5 linked regions of the Danio rerio genome follow. The protein of the gene in region 5 interacts with the protein of the main gene of each other region in a biochemical or structural test. Links are inferred from orthologs where the notes say so. Each region holds a gene or a part of one and is shown on either strand. Other genes may lie near its edges.

Region 1 (2,465 bases), on a different chromosome or scaffold from region 5:
AGCAGGAGAACCACATATTTTTGATCAAAGAGCCTCATGTAGCTTCCAAGCCATAGGTTCCTTACCCCTGGTCTACATGGGTCTCAAACTCAATTTTTAGAGGGCCACAGCTCTGCACACTTTTGCTCCAACCTTAATCAAACACAGCTGATTCAAATAATCAATGTGTTTGAGACTCTTTTGAACAACTTTTGGATTAGCTGTGGTTGATTAGGGTTGGAGCAAAACTGTGAAGAGCTGTGGCCCTCCAGGAATTGAGTTCGAGAAGCATGGTCTAAATGTTTTTCACGACACAAGAATAATAGCATCTTTGGACAGAAGACATTATAGCAAGGCATCTTGTTTTTGTTAGGGTTATACTGCCACAACTATAATAAACTTCTGATGATTGCTTTGTTATTTACAGATTTTGCATTATGTAGGTTAATATGCTACTCACTGGTGCAGTATTTTAAAGTACTGAAACATCTTTAAAATACTTAAAAATACTTTAAAACATGCATTTGCTTCAAGGCAATTGATAAATAATGTAGAATTTTAATTTCATTTATACTGTGGATATTTCTTATTGCTTGAAATTAAGCTGTTCAGTATGGATGTTTTTTTATTGTTATTATTGTCTTATATATTATTTAGAATTTTTTATATTTTATTTATTTTATTGAGTGATGAACTCTGGTGTGACATGATTTTTTTTTTTCTTTTGGATTAATAAAGTTCAAACAAAGAAACAAACAAAGAAACAAAATATAAAATATACAATATAAAAAGGTCTTATTTTAAAAAATAAATAGATAAATATATATATATATATATATATATATATATATATATATATATATATATATATATATATATATATATAAACATTAACAATTCTTGCTGCATATCTTGTTTTATATTTTCACAGGTCCTATTGTGCATAGTAAAACAACTTCAGTGAAAGAACTGAGGATAAATGACTCCATAAATCTAAAACAAAATACAGGGCGTCTCCTGTTTGAATTCCATGACAAAGGCTTGACCCTCTTTATATCAAAAAGGTCTTTCTAGTCTGCTGTAAAATATTTTATTGCACTTTTTTTAGTCTTTGTTTAAACGGAGAAAGCACAAGTTTTGTGTCGAGGCGATTGTCTGAGGAGCGGCGATTGAGTCTACACGGTTCTCATGTGACAGTTAAGTTCACAGCGCCGCCCAGCAGAGCTTCATTTTTCACTGCTAGTTGTAGGTGAAGGTTACTCCTCTGAGAAATGGCTGAAACTGCTCCAGCTCCCGCTGCCACGCCGGCAAAAGCTCCCAAGAAGAAAGCGGCGTCCAAGCCCAAGAAAACGGGCCCAAATGTCCGCGACCTCATCGTCAAGACTGTGACTGCGTCCAAGGAGAGAAACGGCGTGTCTCTCGCAGCCCTGAAGAAGGCTCTCTCCGCCGGTGGATATGATGTGGAGAAGAACAACTCCCGCGTCAAAACCGCAGTCAAGGCATTGGTGACCAACGGCACTCTAGCCCAGACCAAAGGCACAGGCGCCTCCGGCTCATTCAAGCTCAATAAGAAACAAGCTGAGCCCAAGAAAGCAGCCAAGAAAACCGCCACGAAAGCCAAGAAGCCCGCCGCTAAGAAATCTCCCAAGAAGGCGAAGAAGCCGGCGGCCACATCTGTGAAGAAGGCAACAAAGAGCCCCAAGAAAGCTAAGAAGCCGGCGGCTGCCAAGAAGGCCACCAAGAGCCCCAAGAAGGCAAAGAAACCAGCAGCTGCAAAGAAAGCAGCCAAGAGCCCCAAGAAGGTGAAAGCAGTCAAGCCCAAAACGGCCAAACCCAAGGCGGCAAAGCCCAAAAAAGCGGCTCCCAAGAAGAAGTAATCTACTATTTCTGCTCGATTCTTCCATAAACTAAACGGCTCTTTTAAGAGCCACTCACATAACAGTGAAGAGCATTATTTTCAAACACTTTTAAACTACTAATCTTGAAACGGTAACTAAATATGCCACCAGAAAAATAGACCAGGGCAGGAAACGCAAACAGTTCATTTTGAAAGCAATCCCTTTCGTTCCCAAGTGAGGAAAACTTTTAAGTTTTTTTTCATCCAATTTATCTGTACTCACAATTGAATGCCTAAAATACTATACTGATGGATGCATAAATTCAGAACTAATGTAGGACGTTTTGCTTAAAGTTTACTTTAGGCATAAGTTCCCACTTGAAGCATTCGCTTCGATCTGAAAATCACATCGCTGTTAGCTTATTTTCAAAAGCTACATTAAAACATGATAAAGAAGTTATCTAAAAAACAAATAAATGTGCAAGTTTCGCCATTGTATGCAACAATAACTTATCCTGAATAAGTTTTTTTGAGCGGGAAAAGCAACTGTCTGTCAGTCGTCTGCTGGGAAAAAAAAAAAAAGTAATGCTCTGCCATTGGTCAGAATGTTCACGTCACACTGCGACATAAATGCAACAGCCAATCAAAC
Region 2 (4,152 bases), on a different chromosome or scaffold from region 5:
TAAGTATGCAATAAGTATGCAAGTATATAAGTGTATATATAAATCTATTGCATCCCTGCAAAAATAAATATATAAATAATTATTCGTGCGGTTTGAAAGAAGGAAAAAAAATGCTTCATTTTCAGTTGAACATTTTCTTATTCCCCCGACATCTGTATAATTTATTTAATTAATAATCTCGCCGCACTATTTTTATATTTATTTATGCAGGAATTTGTGGGTTTTATATGTATTTATTTGCATATTTATTGTTTTATTTCTGCAGGAATTTATGGATTTATTAAGGCCTACTTATGTATTTGTGTATTTATTTATTGTTTTATGTATGAAGGAAATTGTGGATTAATAAATATTTATTCATGTATTTGCATATTTATTCATTTATTGTTTTATTTATGCAAAACTGTGGATTTATTTATTATTTATTTGCATATTTATTTATTAATTTATTTATTTATCTATTGTATGTATATATATATGTATGTATATATATATATTGTTTTATTTATGCAGGAATTTGTAGATTTATTCATGTATTTGCATATTTATTTACTCACTGTTTTATTTATGCAGGAATTTGTGGATTTACTTGTTTATTTATTTGCATATTTATTTGTTTTATTTGTGCACGAATTTGTAGATTTATTAATTTGCGTATTTATTGTTTCATTTATGCAGGAATCTGTGGATTTATACTTTTTTATTTGCGTATTTATTTATTTATAGTTTTTGCAGGCTTCATCCTCCATATCTGTACCATTAAACAAAAATTACGAAACATTGCAGTTTTATAGATACTAATCTTAGGAAACAAATATGTGTGTGTGTGTATGTGTATATATATATTAGTTCAGGAAATCTCACTTTGTTAAAAATTGTGTTCCTGACGTCATACATGCAAGAACAGTGTTTTTTCTCCACGTTTACACACTTTTTTTTTTTTCTTACAAAGGCTGAAAGACCAAAAAACACCAAGCTGTAAATCAGTACATCTGGGTGGGGTTACTATATGCCCAGCAGCTCCTGGAGAAGTACTTCAGAAATGTTTAATATATCTATTAAATATATGTGCTTATTTGAATTGTTAGCGTGATCACTGATTTCTCTATATTTGTTATTGATGAGTAAATAATAGCACAGTCTCGTGTAAAAACAGCGCGTTTTCTGGGCGGCTCCTCGGAAGGTTCTGTTCTTTTCTGTGACGCTGATCTTCTGGAATGTCTCCACGCGCTCACGTGTGGTCATGTGTTTACCGGGCTTCTAGTCCACGTGCAGCGCTCGCAGGCTCCGCCCACCGCCTCGACACGCCCATCGGAGTTCATAAAGTTTGGGAAAGTGTCGTCAGAGGCAGCAGAAAAACTCCAGTGTGCAGATCCTCCAGCTCAGGATTGAGTTTCTCCACACTTCCAGCTTCAGGTGTTCCTCAGCTCCTGTTTTAAACCTGATACTGCTCCTGAGGAGATCTGAAACCCTCACATTCACTCTGACATCAGCGGGTTTACAGTTTCAGCTCTTGCAGAAGCTCAAAACATGTAAGTTGCATGTTTTAAATACTTTTGCACGTTTGTTGTCGGGTATTTGCTTATATATTGCTTTATATATGCTGAAATTGTGTTAATGTGATGCTGTGAGTGCTTTAGTGGAACTTTTCTAAACTTTAGTTTGCTCTGTCAGATAACACTCGACTGAAATAAACACCTCAGACTGACTTTAATCGAGAACTGTGCTGATCGACCGGTGTGAGTTGTGATTGATCGATTGTTATTGTGTTATTGTGAACTCCAAAGTCTCGGTCGTATCAGATCTCGACGTGTTTTCCACCGGCTTACACGAGTTTCAGCTTCACGTGGAGCGCTGGAGTGAGAGGGCGTGTTCTTGTCAGCTTCTGGCCAATCACAGGCGGACTCGGTTTCCCGCTGACTTCTTGAATTTTTTTTTCCTCGAGATGAACGGCACGTTCCATCGCAGAAGCCAATCAGAGTCCAGTGACAGGCGCGTGACGTCACCAATGAAACTTCTTTCTTCATCTAATTTTTTTTTTTTTTTTTTTTATTTTTTAGAAAATAACTTTTTGAAAATTGGGCGGAAAAAACTCTAAAGAGCACGCCACATTACAGAAATATTCAGAACTACCAATGATTTAATACACTGTCAGATTTAGTAAGTGTATTATTTTCTATATATTTTAATCATGACATGCATTATTTCAGTGAATTATGCAGTTTAGTTTGTCAGGGTTGTGGTGTGGTAAGTCTCTTAAAAATCTTAAAGGTCTCCTGGTAAGTCTCTTAAAATTAGAATCAGACTGAACATCTTAGATAAAAAATTTGACCTCTGACCCTCAAGAACATGTTGCCCATTATAATGCACGAGAGTTCATGACGGGTGTATATATATATATATATATATATAATCATATATTTTAGTAAGTAATTTTATTTTGTTGATGATGCATATATTAAATGCACACATACAGTACATACACACCCATATATATATATATAACGCCAACTTTTATGAAGAAAACGTATAATATTGGCATTTTGCTAAGTAAATATGTAGATATCATGTATCTTACAAAGAAAAAACTCAATTTTGTTAAGTTTCATTCATTTAATGCAGATTAAGATGGATTATCATTATAAAATTACACAAAGTTTTGTGTAATTTAAACATTATTAACTTAATTTTTCAACTTTTTTAAATGAATGAAAAGTCAATCAGTTGCCTAATATGGTGATTTTTTAAAAACTATTTACCATAATATTAAGATAAAGGTTAAAAAGGAATTGAATTATAATGAACACTGTCAGTTTTAATGACAGTTCTTAATATTACATTAAGATTCTAGTTTTCAGTTTAAAGGCTTAACCAAGTTACTTTAAGTCATTGGACTACAGTGGTTTGATAATGAAGCTTCACTGCTGGACTAATAATGTAGCTGTTCAGCTGTAGGCGGCGCTGCATGTCTAGCGCTGCTCCCTCTGGCGGCCAGGCGCGCTCACTGCAGCCGCTCGAACATGCCCGAACAAATGCCGGTCCTCTGTGACTCACTGCCCAATATAAAAGCACACCAGCCCGCAGAAACTCTCAGTCATGACAGCTCAGAGGCGCAGAGCTCGCGTGGAGTCAGCAGTAGGATATTTATGCGAATTAACCAGGAAAATGTTTTATTAGCATGCGAAATGTTAAGGTTTTCTGGATTGATCTATATGTTTTTTTGTGTAATACCTTACTGAATTATGATTATGTAGTTGTCTGTAATTACCTATTGATATTTATATTATTATTTATTTTTAAAATATTAGATTATAAAGATTTTTGCATTAGTAGATAAAAAAATATTATTTAATGAAGTGTGTGTGTGTGTGTGTGTGTATACATATATTTATACATTTATTTATTTATTTTTTTTATCTATTAGAATTTTGTAGTCACCATTTGTATTTGTTTTTTTTTATCCCTTTTTGATTGATGTAACTATGTATTTATATAATAATATATATTTCTAGGTCTCTTATAGAATTATGAAGTTGTCTGTTTATGTAATATTGGATTGTTATAATGACACAAAGCTATGGTAAATCTATGCTTGGTGTTGCAAAACCCTATTTTTAGCATGGTCTAACTTCCAAATAGTAAACAGTAAACTTTAGGGCTTAAACATAGGTCTGTATGACTGTGGCTTTATTTTAAAGTACACAAGAAATCCTCTTGTTGTTAGCTCACATTGCTAATTTTGTGATGAACACTTCATCTGTGCATGTTATTAACAAAACAATAGTTTACATTGTAATCCTTAATGTAAATCTGTAAATGAACTTCCTGTTTGTTCAGGTAAATTCTCAGATTGATCTGTCTGAGGTATTGGGTGTGGCTAACATTCTTAACCACACCCCTAAAACTGTCATCGCTATGACAACAAACAAAAATAAGTAGGAGGAGGAGTCTGTTCGGTTGTAATAACTCTCCCCAAACCCTTTTCCCCATCTTTCCCCAATGGAACGCCTACTCTACTACAGCCAATCAGCTAGCAGTAGAAGAAAACAAGCCACGCCCACTGTTTTCATTTAGAATTCAGTTTGTCTAGGAACTGCGTCACAATACGAAAAAAAATGCAGGTTCTGGTTCATGTGGATTTTAAATATGATT
Region 3 (3,520 bases), on a different chromosome or scaffold from region 5:
AGCCTCATCCTCAATAAATGATTGAGTTATTCACTCATTAAACGTCATGTTTCATTGCTAGATGATCATTTCTGAAGAATTATTCAGTGGCGCATTTTTGACGGCTGGTTGTTGCCAACTATTGGTTAAACAGTAGCTCCTTTCACACAGAGATACCAGTAAATATCCAGAAAATTTCCGGAACGACTTTACCGGTAAATTCAAAAAAGCGCTGTTCACTCAGGCGAGGACTTTACGGAATTTTTCCGGAAAAAGAGCGTTCACACAGCTTGTGTTTGTAAACATTTGACTACATTACAAACTCTTTGGATGGATCAGTATTGAGTACAACTCCAATGAAAACATCTGGAGGAACACTTTCGCATGTCGAGATGTTCATGATATGCATGTGTGCTGGCGCTATGGGCGCTCACGGGCATGCGCAAAGCTTGAAGGTAAACAAACAATGGATTATCATAAACATCTTATCGCTGATTATTTACACAGTTGGCATTAAGATGAACATATAAACGTTATCCGACTAAGATCTAGCAGCTAAATGTGTCTGGAAAAATATTCAAAGGCTTTTATTCTCATAAACTGTGCAGACGTGAATGCGTCTGACTGTTCTGATTGGCTAAAGTAGACGTCTCATGTCAGCACGTTCTAGACGTGGACATCTTTCCGGCAATCTTCCTACAGCGCAGCATTCCGGCAAATTACCGGTAATGTTACAACTTCTCTTTCCGGAAAATAGCCAGAAGGAATTTACCGGTATTTTCAAAAAGGGCCTGTTCACACATACACACCTTACGGAAAATTGCCGGTAATTTTCCGGAAAGGTCTGTATGTGTGAAAGGGGCTAATGTAACTGCTGCCTTCAATATTAATTTAAGCGTCAAGTTTAATGAAAATGACGGTGATTTTAATCTTTAGCATAAACATAAGTGGTTTTATCTAAACTATAACCTGTTGTTTCAGTATAGCCGTGTTATTTGCATGTCTGTAACTTCATAACGATCTCAAAACACTAAAGACTGAATCTCCTGATTGTTGCGTTTTTCGAACAGATTTGAATGCAGCGATTCGAAGCATTTATAATGTATGTTGCGTGGGTGTTGCAATCCAGATCTTTACTGATTAATCATGCAGCTTATACTGAATGCATTAATGCAGGCTGAACAGAGTTTTCAGTAAATGTTCTCACCAGTGGCCGCAAAGGGCCGTATTTTTCCATGGCGTTTTTAAACGGAGTGGGCGTACGAGGCATCGTGTCCAGATCAGACTTGTGATTTGGTGTTATAAACCTACAAAGGAGGAAACATACACAAGTTCAGCAGTCACATCAGAGCTGAATCGCTGTGTGTGTGAACGCAGAGACGTACAGGGAGTTTTCCTTCTGTGTGAGCGGGGTTTTGTCTCGGTGCAGCGGTGTGGTGACCACGGCTTTCTGACTGCACACGGGAGTGGAGGTGAGGGACGGGTTCTCCAGGTCCAGCGTGTCCTGCTTCGTCCACATGTTGAGGAACTTTGAGAACACAAATATAATATTAAAGGTTTTGAATAATAACAGAAGCAGTCAAATGTTTCCTAAAGTCTGACAGGAAAGTTTTTGCTATAGCAATTAGGTATGCAAAATGACAGACATTACAAGACAGTCAATGAATTAAACGCTTAACTATCAAATCAGAGAATCATATCTGTAATACATTTATAATAATACAAGAACTATCATATATTGCACCTTTAAAAGTTAGATTCTTTCAATTCTTTACAAGAAGTTAAAGAGAAAAAGAAAACAAAACACAAAGATAAGGTAAAAAAAAAATGTACAAATTAAAGACGCAAGAGTCATTTTATTGTCACTTGCAGCTTTAATTTGCATATTGTGGTAGCATTTTAGCAGGTAAATACAGGAGAACCATGCAGCCATTTATATGTGCCACACTTGCTGCAGCCAGTAGATGGTGATATGACTATAAATGAACATTGAGCATTTAGAGGACTTAAAGATCTTTTACCCCTTATAATATTTATGCAATGAAGCCTGACTGTTAAAAAAAAAGTGATCAAATAGAGATATATTTTAAAGATCTTTGAAACATGCATTTAAGACATAAAAACTAATTAAGGCCTTATTTTTACACTATGAAATGCAAGACTTTAGGGATCTGTGGCCACTCTGCTTATGTACTAACATTATCTCAAATGTTTAAAAGAACACTCAGATCCTGTGAAATAAGCTATTTTAACTTTAAGAGATAACAAGTAGAAAAGACCACAACTCCCATGATTCCACGCTCAGTCAGGCTGTCATTAAAATACACGCCCTCTTGTGGCCAAAATTACATAGTGCAGAGTTACTGAAGTTTGTCCTGGGCGCTTGCTTTTTTTTCAGTTACGTCTTTGGTTTGGTGCGTTAATCTTATCGTTACTATTATTCAAAAGAAGGTAATGATTCGCACTCAATTGCTTCGTACTGTTTTTATTTGTACTTTTTCTTACATTTTACGGGTGATAACAGACAAACAGAGGTTTCGGCACAAAGCCTTCCTCAGTGTGTGACACAATTCTCTATAATCAGGTGTACATCAATACAATAAAATTCTAACAGTTGACATTAAAAGTTTTCTACATTTGACAATTACCCAAAGATTAAAAATCACAAGTCTTACCTTCACCTTTACCCATATAACCAATTATACAGGATGTGATTTTTAATCTTTGGGTATTTGTCAAATGTAGAAAACTTTTAATGTCAACTGTTAGAATTTTATTGTATTGATGTACACCTGATTAATGATAATAGTTTATACACTTTCTCTCTGTAGAGTTAGGTCGGAAATGGGAAGATTGTTTATTGTCATTGCTGTGAAGATTATAAGTTATTGTGTGATTAATGGATAATGAAATGAGAGTGACGGTTTAACTAATTGCACATTGTGATTGACTATGGAATAAAAGGGTGGAGTTAGAGAATTGTGTCACACACTGAGGAAGGCTTTGTGCCGAAACGTCTGTTATCATCCATAAAATATAAGAAAAAGTACAAATAAAAACAGTACGAAGCAATTGAGTGCGAATCATTACCTTCTTCAAAATTACATAGTGTCAAAAAAATAAATAAAAGATTACAGTTTCAATGATCTGACAGCCATATTAAGCAGTGATGCAACATTAATATTTGACCACCCAATATGATTTAGTTGTTGATATTATTAATTAAAATATATGTACGCAAATTCACAATATTTCAATAAATAAATAAAATGCAGCCACTAAATATTGTGGATTGATCAGCGTAGCTGATTCACTGATATTGCACACTTTTTATTAAGAAATGATTATTATTGAAATGCATTTGTTTTATCCGATTGAAAACCAGAAATTAAATAAAAAAATTGTTTATTTAGTTAATTAAATAAATATTTAGTTTATTTAGCAGCTCCATTATTTTGCTGGTTTGTTTTATTAATTATTTCATTAATATCCATTAATTTTAGACATGGCATATACTGTATGTTGTGCAATAAAAGCATGT
Region 4 (3,520 bases), on a different chromosome or scaffold from region 5:
TAATGAGTCAGAATTCATGAACAAAAGGCCTATAAATAGTCTCAGATTCAGTAAGTCTTACTTTTTGAAAATAACCTAACCAATACTAATACAACAAACTAATACAACATTTTCTTAAAAGGCACTCAAATGTTTAAACAATTAATCATGGTGTTTTGAGGTACCTGTGATATCAATATTGTGCATGTTCATTATCACAATATATCGAATTAATGAATACCGACATGTATCTGAAGGTGCATGAAGGATTGGGTTTGGAATTGCAATGCATTTGTTTGAACTGATGATTAATGCAGGATTGTGTGTGTGTTTCGTAGGCTGGGATTATTTGTCAGCTTAATGCTCGGACCTCCATCCTCGCAGCAGCCAATCCGGTGGAGTCTCAGTGGAACCCCAAAAAGACAACGATAGAGAACATTCAGCTGCCTCACACACTGCTGTCCAGGTACAAATTAAACAACCGTATTTATAGCGGATAATGTATATTAATCATCTGCTGAATATTTAAAACAATGTGTTTTGAAAAATATTAGTTAACATTAATTAGATTAAAAATAAAGTAAAAATGTAATGTTTAATAATTACAGTTTAAAATAGATGTTTTCTTTTAGGATGTATTACATTTTTGTAATGCAAAGTGTTGTGCTGCTTAATATTATTTGGGAACCAACTTCCTAAGTGCAGTGTTTATGTGAAATGCCAATAATTATGTGATAATTTTAATGTTTAAAAGTAAAGAAAAAAAACATTTGGATGATATAATTAAATATTAGTTTTGTCAGTATAGAAGTGTTTAATTTAAATTAGTTGTCAAATTAAATTATAAACTAACTTTAAAGACATTTATTAACAAATAGGGCAAATTTACATAAAAGAACTTAATTTTTTTTTTACTTTTGTGATCTCAAAGATTATTAATTATTCATAATATTAGTTCAACATAAGCTGCTTTTTATTTTAATGTTTTTTTTTCTTCTTTTGTCTAATAATTGTCTCTCTGCATCTGTTTTTTTTCCAGGTTTGATTTGATCTTCCTAATGCTGGACCCTCAGGACGAGGCGTATGACAGGCGTCTGGCGCACCACCTTGTCTCTCTGTATTATCAGAGTGAAGAGCAGATTGAAGAGGAGCATCTGGACATGGCTGTACTGAAAGACTACATCGCCTTCGCTCGCACAACTGTACATCCCAGACTGAGTGAAGAAGCCAGTCAGGCCCTTATTGAGGTATAGAAACACTATAACAGCACAGCATTATATGTTGCCAGCTTTGTTACTTTTAATTTAAGGACGATACTGATATTTCACTGTGATTAGCTGATCTTGATTTATTTTTTAATTGGCCATTTCATATGTCAGATTTCTTTTGCAATCAAATTGTTCGTTGTCTCTTTTATAATTAAAGGGGCTGTATGTAAGTTTTGGACTATTAATACTATAATATCCATAATATTTTTGCAGATATTTCAGAAATATGCGAAGTCAGGGCTCGAAATTGCGACTGTTTTGGTCGCAAATGCGCCCGAGAATAATCTATGCAACCTCATAATATATATGGGAGCATTAGTGCGACTGCAGATAATGGTTGTAGTGTGACCTGTTTAGATTTTTTCTAAAAACGTGCTAAATCGGTCTTCCCTGCCGCTATATTGGTTCATATTAGCTGTCAATCACTCAAGATATTCCGCAGTCAGGTGACAGGGAAGAAGCTTTTATGACCACGGGAAATGCAAACGGCTGAAGAGTGAAAACTTAAAGCACACAGGTTTGCAAACCCCACCTAAAGTTGAGGCGCAGATGAAAGCGATCATGACATGTGGTGAATATTGATCCGCCAGCTGAGATCAATCGACCATGTGCTTTTCGGAGAAGGCGCCCGAATCTCGATGCGTTGCATTCACTGCGTGTTCAGCGCAAATGTCCGCTAAAAGTTAAATCTAATACTGGACATATCATCGCCAAAGAAGCTCGCCTTTACTAAGTTCACACTGAAGCTGCGGCTCATAAACAGTGGTATTGCGCCGATGGTCATCGCAAGAATCCTGCTCTGCCTGCTCATAAATTGGGTCGGTTGACTCGCCTGCTTTTCCACAAACACAGAAAAATGAAGATCAGCTCAGACTGAACCTTTAAATTGACACAAACTGAAACCAAAACTTTTAAAGAGTGATAGAAGTGAGACTTTACTTACTTTGTTTTGTCTATTCTTTCTAGAGGTGTATATTATTTATTTTTTTATTTAGTTACTGATGACTGTTTTGCTGCTTTCAGGCTTGAATTTAATTATTTATTATAATCTTTTGTTTGTTTTATGGCAGAAATATTATTTATTAAACTGACATGCATATATTAACAGCAGTACAAAATAAATATTTCTTACTGCAATGCTTCATTTTTGTTTGATGCAAACTATACATTTATTTCTCATAAAGTAACAGACTTTTTATAGCAGATAACCTGCATTCAAGCACATTCAAGGCAGCATGATGATGAGAACTGTAATTCATTGTTACTATTATCGTCATTTTCATCAACATTAATATTTTATAATTATTCGACATTCATTTTGGAATTATTGCACACAAATATCAATGTCATTTCAGCATTAGTTAGATAGTTGTTTCTGGTTTTTGTTAGTCCTAATTAATGTTGTTTTAAAATACAGTAAATCCCTTAAAATTCAATTTGCAGCGGTGCTCAATCATTGTTGGTGGGTGCTCCTAAATTTTTGATGTCGGGAGCACTGGTGCTACCAAGTAAAAAAGTTAATTTCGAGCCCTGTAAGTGAACTTGCTTGTTTATCTGAAAAAACAATGCTGATGTCAGTTGTTCTACTTTGAAATTGTATGAAGGTCTGTCTTTGTTTTGGTCTGTGTAACTCTGCCTACTGCGATTTTTAGCCATTATATTTTGGCACCCCAGGTTGCCTTGGTTGAAGACTGCCGTCTCAATGTATGCGGGCCTTTAAAATAAGATGTAGATTCTGAGTTATAAAAATTAACATGAGGTAGTTTCAAATTGGCAAACAATAGAAAAATGTTACAAACACAAACATTAGCTGAGAAGCTTATAGTGTAATGCTGGTTCACACCAACTTTAAGCTTCCCGTGAGTAAACTAGAGTGAGTGATGTTTATTTACCTCAAGCTAATTTTCTGCTCGAGTTGAATTATTTGAAGTTGCATAAATATTTTGTTGTTTGTTTTAATCCGTTTTAATCTTGCCATGAAATAGCCAAACATTGCTGATGTGGCAATAAAATAAATAAAAAAAAGACAGGCAAAAACAAGTAAAATATTTGCGCTGCACTGTAGAAATGCTCCTTTTCGATCGCGTTTGCATTGACTTCATATGTAATGTCAATCTACTTGTGTGAATACTTTGACTTTTGGCTCACTCCTGCTGGTCTCAGCAACCTGAGGAGGGGCTGGGTGGGAAAAAAAATCCAATATTTTGAATTTGGACTGCAATACCTAGTTCATCCACTAGATGTCACATACTGCACTTTTAAATAATGATCCT
Region 5 (4,153 bases):
CACCAATCCAACTATATTTTATAACAGGCAAGTAAGAATGCCAAAATTTTCCATTAATATATTAAAGATATTTTTTCCTCATCAATCACTTCTCATATGTGAGGTGTAAGGTCTGTCTTTGCATGAACAATTGACTGAAACGGCTTTACACCTCGCAAAGTGAAATAAAAAACACTAAAATGTTTAAAATAAACAGGGACAAACTGCCTGATATGTTCTATTTTATCAATGTTATGGGCAAACTTTTTTGTGACTAAAATTTGAGCAAAACAAGTTGCCAAAAGGCCTGATGTGTCAACATGATACATAATACATTTCAAAAAACATGTATAGGCTATGGTATAAAACCACAGACTGTAAAATATAGTATTAAACTGGATCTTGATAGAAGGATTAATAAACAATTTAGTTCCAAAAAAATGTGAATATTCTGACTATTTGTTCATGGTTCAATCTTAACAGGGTTAAGAATTGTTATAATCAAGTATATAAAATTCATATAAGGGAATTTTTCATCCAAATATTACTTTCTACTTTATCTGAAATATAATGATATAATGTGATCCCTCTTGTTTAGGCAAAATAATTAATTAATTAATAATAAATAATGATAAAGATTTTTTTTTTCAAATTAATCATAACTTTTGACCTCAACTATACTGTATGTATGATTTAACAGTCTATTTTGATAAAAATTTAAAAAAATATATGAACACTTTATTTTTCAGAGATGGGTTGTGGCTGGAAAGCAATCCGATGCGTAAAAAACGTGCTGGATAAGTTGGCGGTTCACTCCGCTGTGGCGACCCCAGATTAATAAAGGGACTAAGCTGAAAATGAATGAATAAATGAACACTTTACACTTGGACGTGTGACTGCATGTTATTGTTTTCAATGATTTTAAATTAAAGCGTGTGTGCCAACATATGCAACTCATGGTAAATTCTTTTATTTAATAAAACACATTATTTTACTCGTATAAAATGCTTAATAAATATTTTTAACAAAACAGATTTATTTATTTTATTATTTAACTCTTAATAAGGATAATTTAAAAAATCGTTTTTTGTGTCTCTCCACTACAGCTTGGTCCCGCATTCATTTCAAAGGAGCGCTACCCTGTACTAAAATGTCGGCTCTATCGACGCATTCCTTCTAATAAACAACAACAGGATAGGCGACATCTAATGTATATATATCTATATAACTGCAGCGCATACATACCGCGTTTCCATGGTTGCGTTGTTGTCGAAACATTATTTGCAACACCTGAGAAATGCAACACTAATTAGGTAAACCATCAACTAGCCTCATGTTGATTGGCCACCTGCAAGTATAAATGAGTTAGCGTGAAACTCACTTGTAAAGCACTTTAACCAATCCACTGAAAGTTCATACGTTTAAAAAAAAAAGTTTGACGATATAAAAGGTTTGTTTTGAATGGTTCGGTTTTAAATATTAACTTTAATTTATTACACAACATCTTGAAAAAAATCTCGATTTTGACAGATGTCTTCGCGCAGTTTTGCTCCTCTTTCCAGTCGTCAGGAGAACATTTTAGGAAGAGCGGAAGGCCTGCGCCAGCTCAAGCCCGGCCAAAGAATTGTGCTCGGTGTTTTGACCGAGAATGAGCAGCATAATCGAATATTTGGACAGGTACATTGTAGATGTTTGCCTTCTGTTATTAACAAATGGATGGTTAAACAAATTGACGTTTCTCTCGTTTAACCCAGGTTGCGTCCAAATATGAGACAACGCTCCAGGAGGTGTCTAAGCGTGACGTCAGTACGTTCAGAGCGTCAATTGGTGATAGTGTGATTGAGACAGCCACTGTACAGTCAGTCAAGTCAACATCATTCCTGCTGCCTTCAGAACTGCTAGTACTCGACGATGCTGTTCAAGATATTGGCTCAGGTGTGTTATAATCTACAAGAATAAGTTTTATCACATATATACATGTTTAGCTTAGCTTAGAAGTAACTTACTGTTATGAAGCTACTCAATTGCTACTGACTGCTGTGTTATAGTCAGTGTTGTGAAAAGTAACTTGAAAGTAATGTTACAATATTGAGTTACTCCCACAAAAGTAACTAGTTGTACTTTGTTTTTATGGCAAGAAATCCGTTACATTACCTTTGCATTACTCTGTATTACCTGGCTGAGACTTTTTCATAACTTGTTTGTTTAAATAGAGGAGCTCTGCGATTAGATGAGCTGTTTTAATTTAAGCAGACCTTTTATTTACCTTTTAAAATAAAAAAGCATATAAAATATTTTAGTTAACCGAGAACTTCCTGACCCCAGAACTATGAGCCGCATATACAGATTGTTTAAAGTAATGTTTGTCAAGTGAAATCACTGTCCATTGAGACTATAATCCCCTTTTTCCTCTTAGATGCGTTCAAAATAATGATTTTTCTCTCATTGACTTATTTTAATTTAGCTTTTAGTCTTTTTAAAAGCGGATTAAACTAAAATGACGTGTTTTTCAAAAATAGCTCAAATATTGCGTTATTTAGGAGAGCAATATTATGGATCTCTCGTTACTTGTAAGTTTACCCCAACACTTGAATGTTTTACCTTTAGTGAAATGCATTTACCATTGTAACTTTCCTTGTATGTAGAAATTGAGTGCTTTTTTAAATGTATTTATTTATTTTATTTTTTGCATGCATAATGCAATATACTGTAATACTAACCTTGTGCTAAATCGTATAGAAAAGGAATTGCTAAGCAAGAATTGGTTTAGTAATTTGTCAAACTAAGTTTTAACAGGCGGTAAAAGATGTTAAATTGTGGTATAAGGAGTTAATGTTGGCTTAATTTCCGTTAATCAGAAGTTATAAGAACAGACAAATATTTTCAATGTAGAAAACCACATTCGCTCCTCCCCCAAACAAAACCGGAGTAGTTGATTTTCTTTCATTAACGTTAATTCAAGTTTACTTGTAAAGCACTTCTCAATTATTGTTTCAAAGCAGCTTAAAGGTGCATGTTACATTATTCAAAATCTGAAGTTGAGTTGTGTACAGCCTAATTACTGGTTTGTAAACATTCAGGATGCACACGCAGCAGGGTTGCAGAAACCTGGTGCGGGAATGACATCCGATGTGGGACAGAGTTTGTTTTATTGAAGTTATATTGATTACATATTATATTTATTAACATAATGCTTTCAGCATATTTTAACAGCTTGTCACCCAGTGATGAGCACAGTTATTCGGCATAATTTGGGCAGTATATAAACGGTTAACTTGCAGGTACAGTATACACGGGGCTGACTTGGTGATTTGGGTGCCCTAAGCAATTCCAGGTACAGGGCCCTAGTGTTGAAACACTCTAGATTTTTTTATTATTATTTTTTTTGTAAACTTAAAACGTATATTAAGTCAAGTCTTTATCTTAATGTAACATTTAAATATAAGTTCAAAGACTATGTACACATTGTACAGTTAATTTTATTTATTTAATTTAGTATTTCATGTGGCGTTGCCGGTTTTGAAAAGTGTCTATAACTTTTTTTAACAATATTAATAGTTATAGACAGATTTTACAATTACTATTTGATTAACATGGGCTTCTTAGCACTGGTCAGGCCCCCATATTCCCCAGAGCCCTAAGCGACTGCTTACTTCGCTTATTGGTTAAGTCCATCCATGGTTATTGTGTCCTTTCAACAACAACAACAACAACAACAAAAAAATCAACAATGCAGTATTTTGAATGCACTAATCCATATCACAGATTGATTTGTGGCCTAAAACTGTCTTTTCTAAACACTTCAGGGTCATTTATGGATTCATCCATGCATTCATTGGCTGATGAAGAAGCTGCTTCCTCTGAGGACGTCTTGTGTGTTTCTGAATATGCTGAGGACATCCACAGATACCTGCGTGAATGCGAAGTTTGTCTTTTTAGTTTAACCTGTTTTAGTTTAGTTTGTTTTGCTCTGCATCTACACTTTTTTTTTTTTTGTGCTTCAGGTTAAATACAGACCAAAACCCGGCTATATGAGAAAGCAGCCTGACATAACCAACTGCATGAGGGTCATTCTTGTGGACTGGCTGGTGGAAGTTGGCGAAGAATACAAGCTGTGCTCTGAGACCCTGTACCTGGCTGTCAATTACCTGGACCGCTTTCTTTCGTGCATGTC

What was found.
Region 1: of the proteins of ccna1 (region 5) and si:ch73-368j24.12, one has a biochemical effect on the other in vitro, tested with the Homo sapiens proteins (2 studies listed by BioGRID). The link is inferred for Danio rerio from reciprocal best matches to the Homo sapiens genes CCNA1 and H1-5.
Region 2: the proteins of ccna1 (region 5) and cdkn1a form a complex in vitro, tested with the Homo sapiens proteins (2 studies listed by BioGRID and IntAct, with this or other methods). The link is inferred for Danio rerio from reciprocal best matches to the Homo sapiens genes CCNA1 and CDKN1A.
Region 3: the proteins of ccna1 (region 5) and mybl2b form a complex in vitro, tested with the Homo sapiens proteins (2 studies listed by BioGRID, with this or other methods). The link is inferred for Danio rerio from reciprocal best matches to the Homo sapiens genes CCNA1 and MYBL2.
Region 4: the proteins of ccna1 (region 5) and mcm4 form a complex in vitro, tested with the Homo sapiens proteins (2 studies listed by BioGRID and IntAct, with this or other methods). The link is inferred for Danio rerio from reciprocal best matches to the Homo sapiens genes CCNA1 and MCM4.

Annotation. Positions count from the first base shown.
Region 1 is NC_133182.1:6,162,020-6,164,484, reverse strand, and holds si:ch73-368j24.12 (histone H1-like), read left to right. Parts: upstream 1-1,208; 5' UTR 1,209-1,250; coding exon 1,251-1,856; 3' UTR 1,857-1,947; downstream 1,948-2,465. UniProt on the Homo sapiens protein: Histone H1 protein binds to linker DNA between nucleosomes forming the macromolecular structure known as the chromatin fiber. Histones H1 are necessary for the condensation of nucleosome chains into higher-order structured fibers.
Region 2 is NC_133197.1:623,133-627,284, reverse strand, and holds the start of cdkn1a (cyclin-dependent kinase inhibitor 1), read left to right. Parts: upstream 1-1,337; 5' UTR 1,338-1,532; intron 1,533-3,092; exon of another isoform or gene 3,093-3,096; coding exon of another isoform or gene 3,097-3,135; intron 3,136-4,152. UniProt on the Homo sapiens protein: Plays an important role in controlling cell cycle progression and DNA damage-induced G2 arrest. Involved in p53/TP53 mediated inhibition of cellular proliferation in response to DNA damage.
Region 3 is NC_133186.1:1,643,982-1,647,501, reverse strand, and holds part of mybl2b (v-myb avian myeloblastosis viral oncogene homolog-like 2b), read right to left. Parts: intron 1,508-3,520; coding exon 1,365-1,507; intron 1,287-1,364; coding exon 1,187-1,286; intron 1-1,186. UniProt on the Homo sapiens protein: Transcription factor involved in the regulation of cell survival, proliferation, and differentiation. Transactivates the expression of the CLU gene.
Region 4 is NC_133199.1:39,257,467-39,260,986, reverse strand, and holds part of mcm4 (DNA replication licensing factor MCM4), read left to right. Parts: intron 1-317; coding exon 318-445; intron 446-1,018; coding exon 1,019-1,226; intron 1,227-3,520. UniProt on the Homo sapiens protein: Acts as a component of the MCM2-7 complex (MCM complex) which is the replicative helicase essential for 'once per cell cycle' DNA replication initiation and elongation in eukaryotic cells.
Region 5 is NC_133185.1:39,928,486-39,932,638, reverse strand, and holds the start of ccna1 (cyclin-A1), read left to right. Parts: upstream 1-1,350; 5' UTR 1,351-1,429; intron 1,430-1,509; coding exon 1,510-1,656; intron 1,657-1,733; coding exon 1,734-1,914; intron 1,915-3,785; coding exon 3,786-3,904; intron 3,905-3,983; coding exon 3,984-4,153. UniProt on the Homo sapiens protein: May be involved in the control of the cell cycle at the G1/S (start) and G2/M (mitosis) transitions. May primarily function in the control of the germline meiotic cell cycle and additionally in the control of mitotic cell cycle in some somatic cells.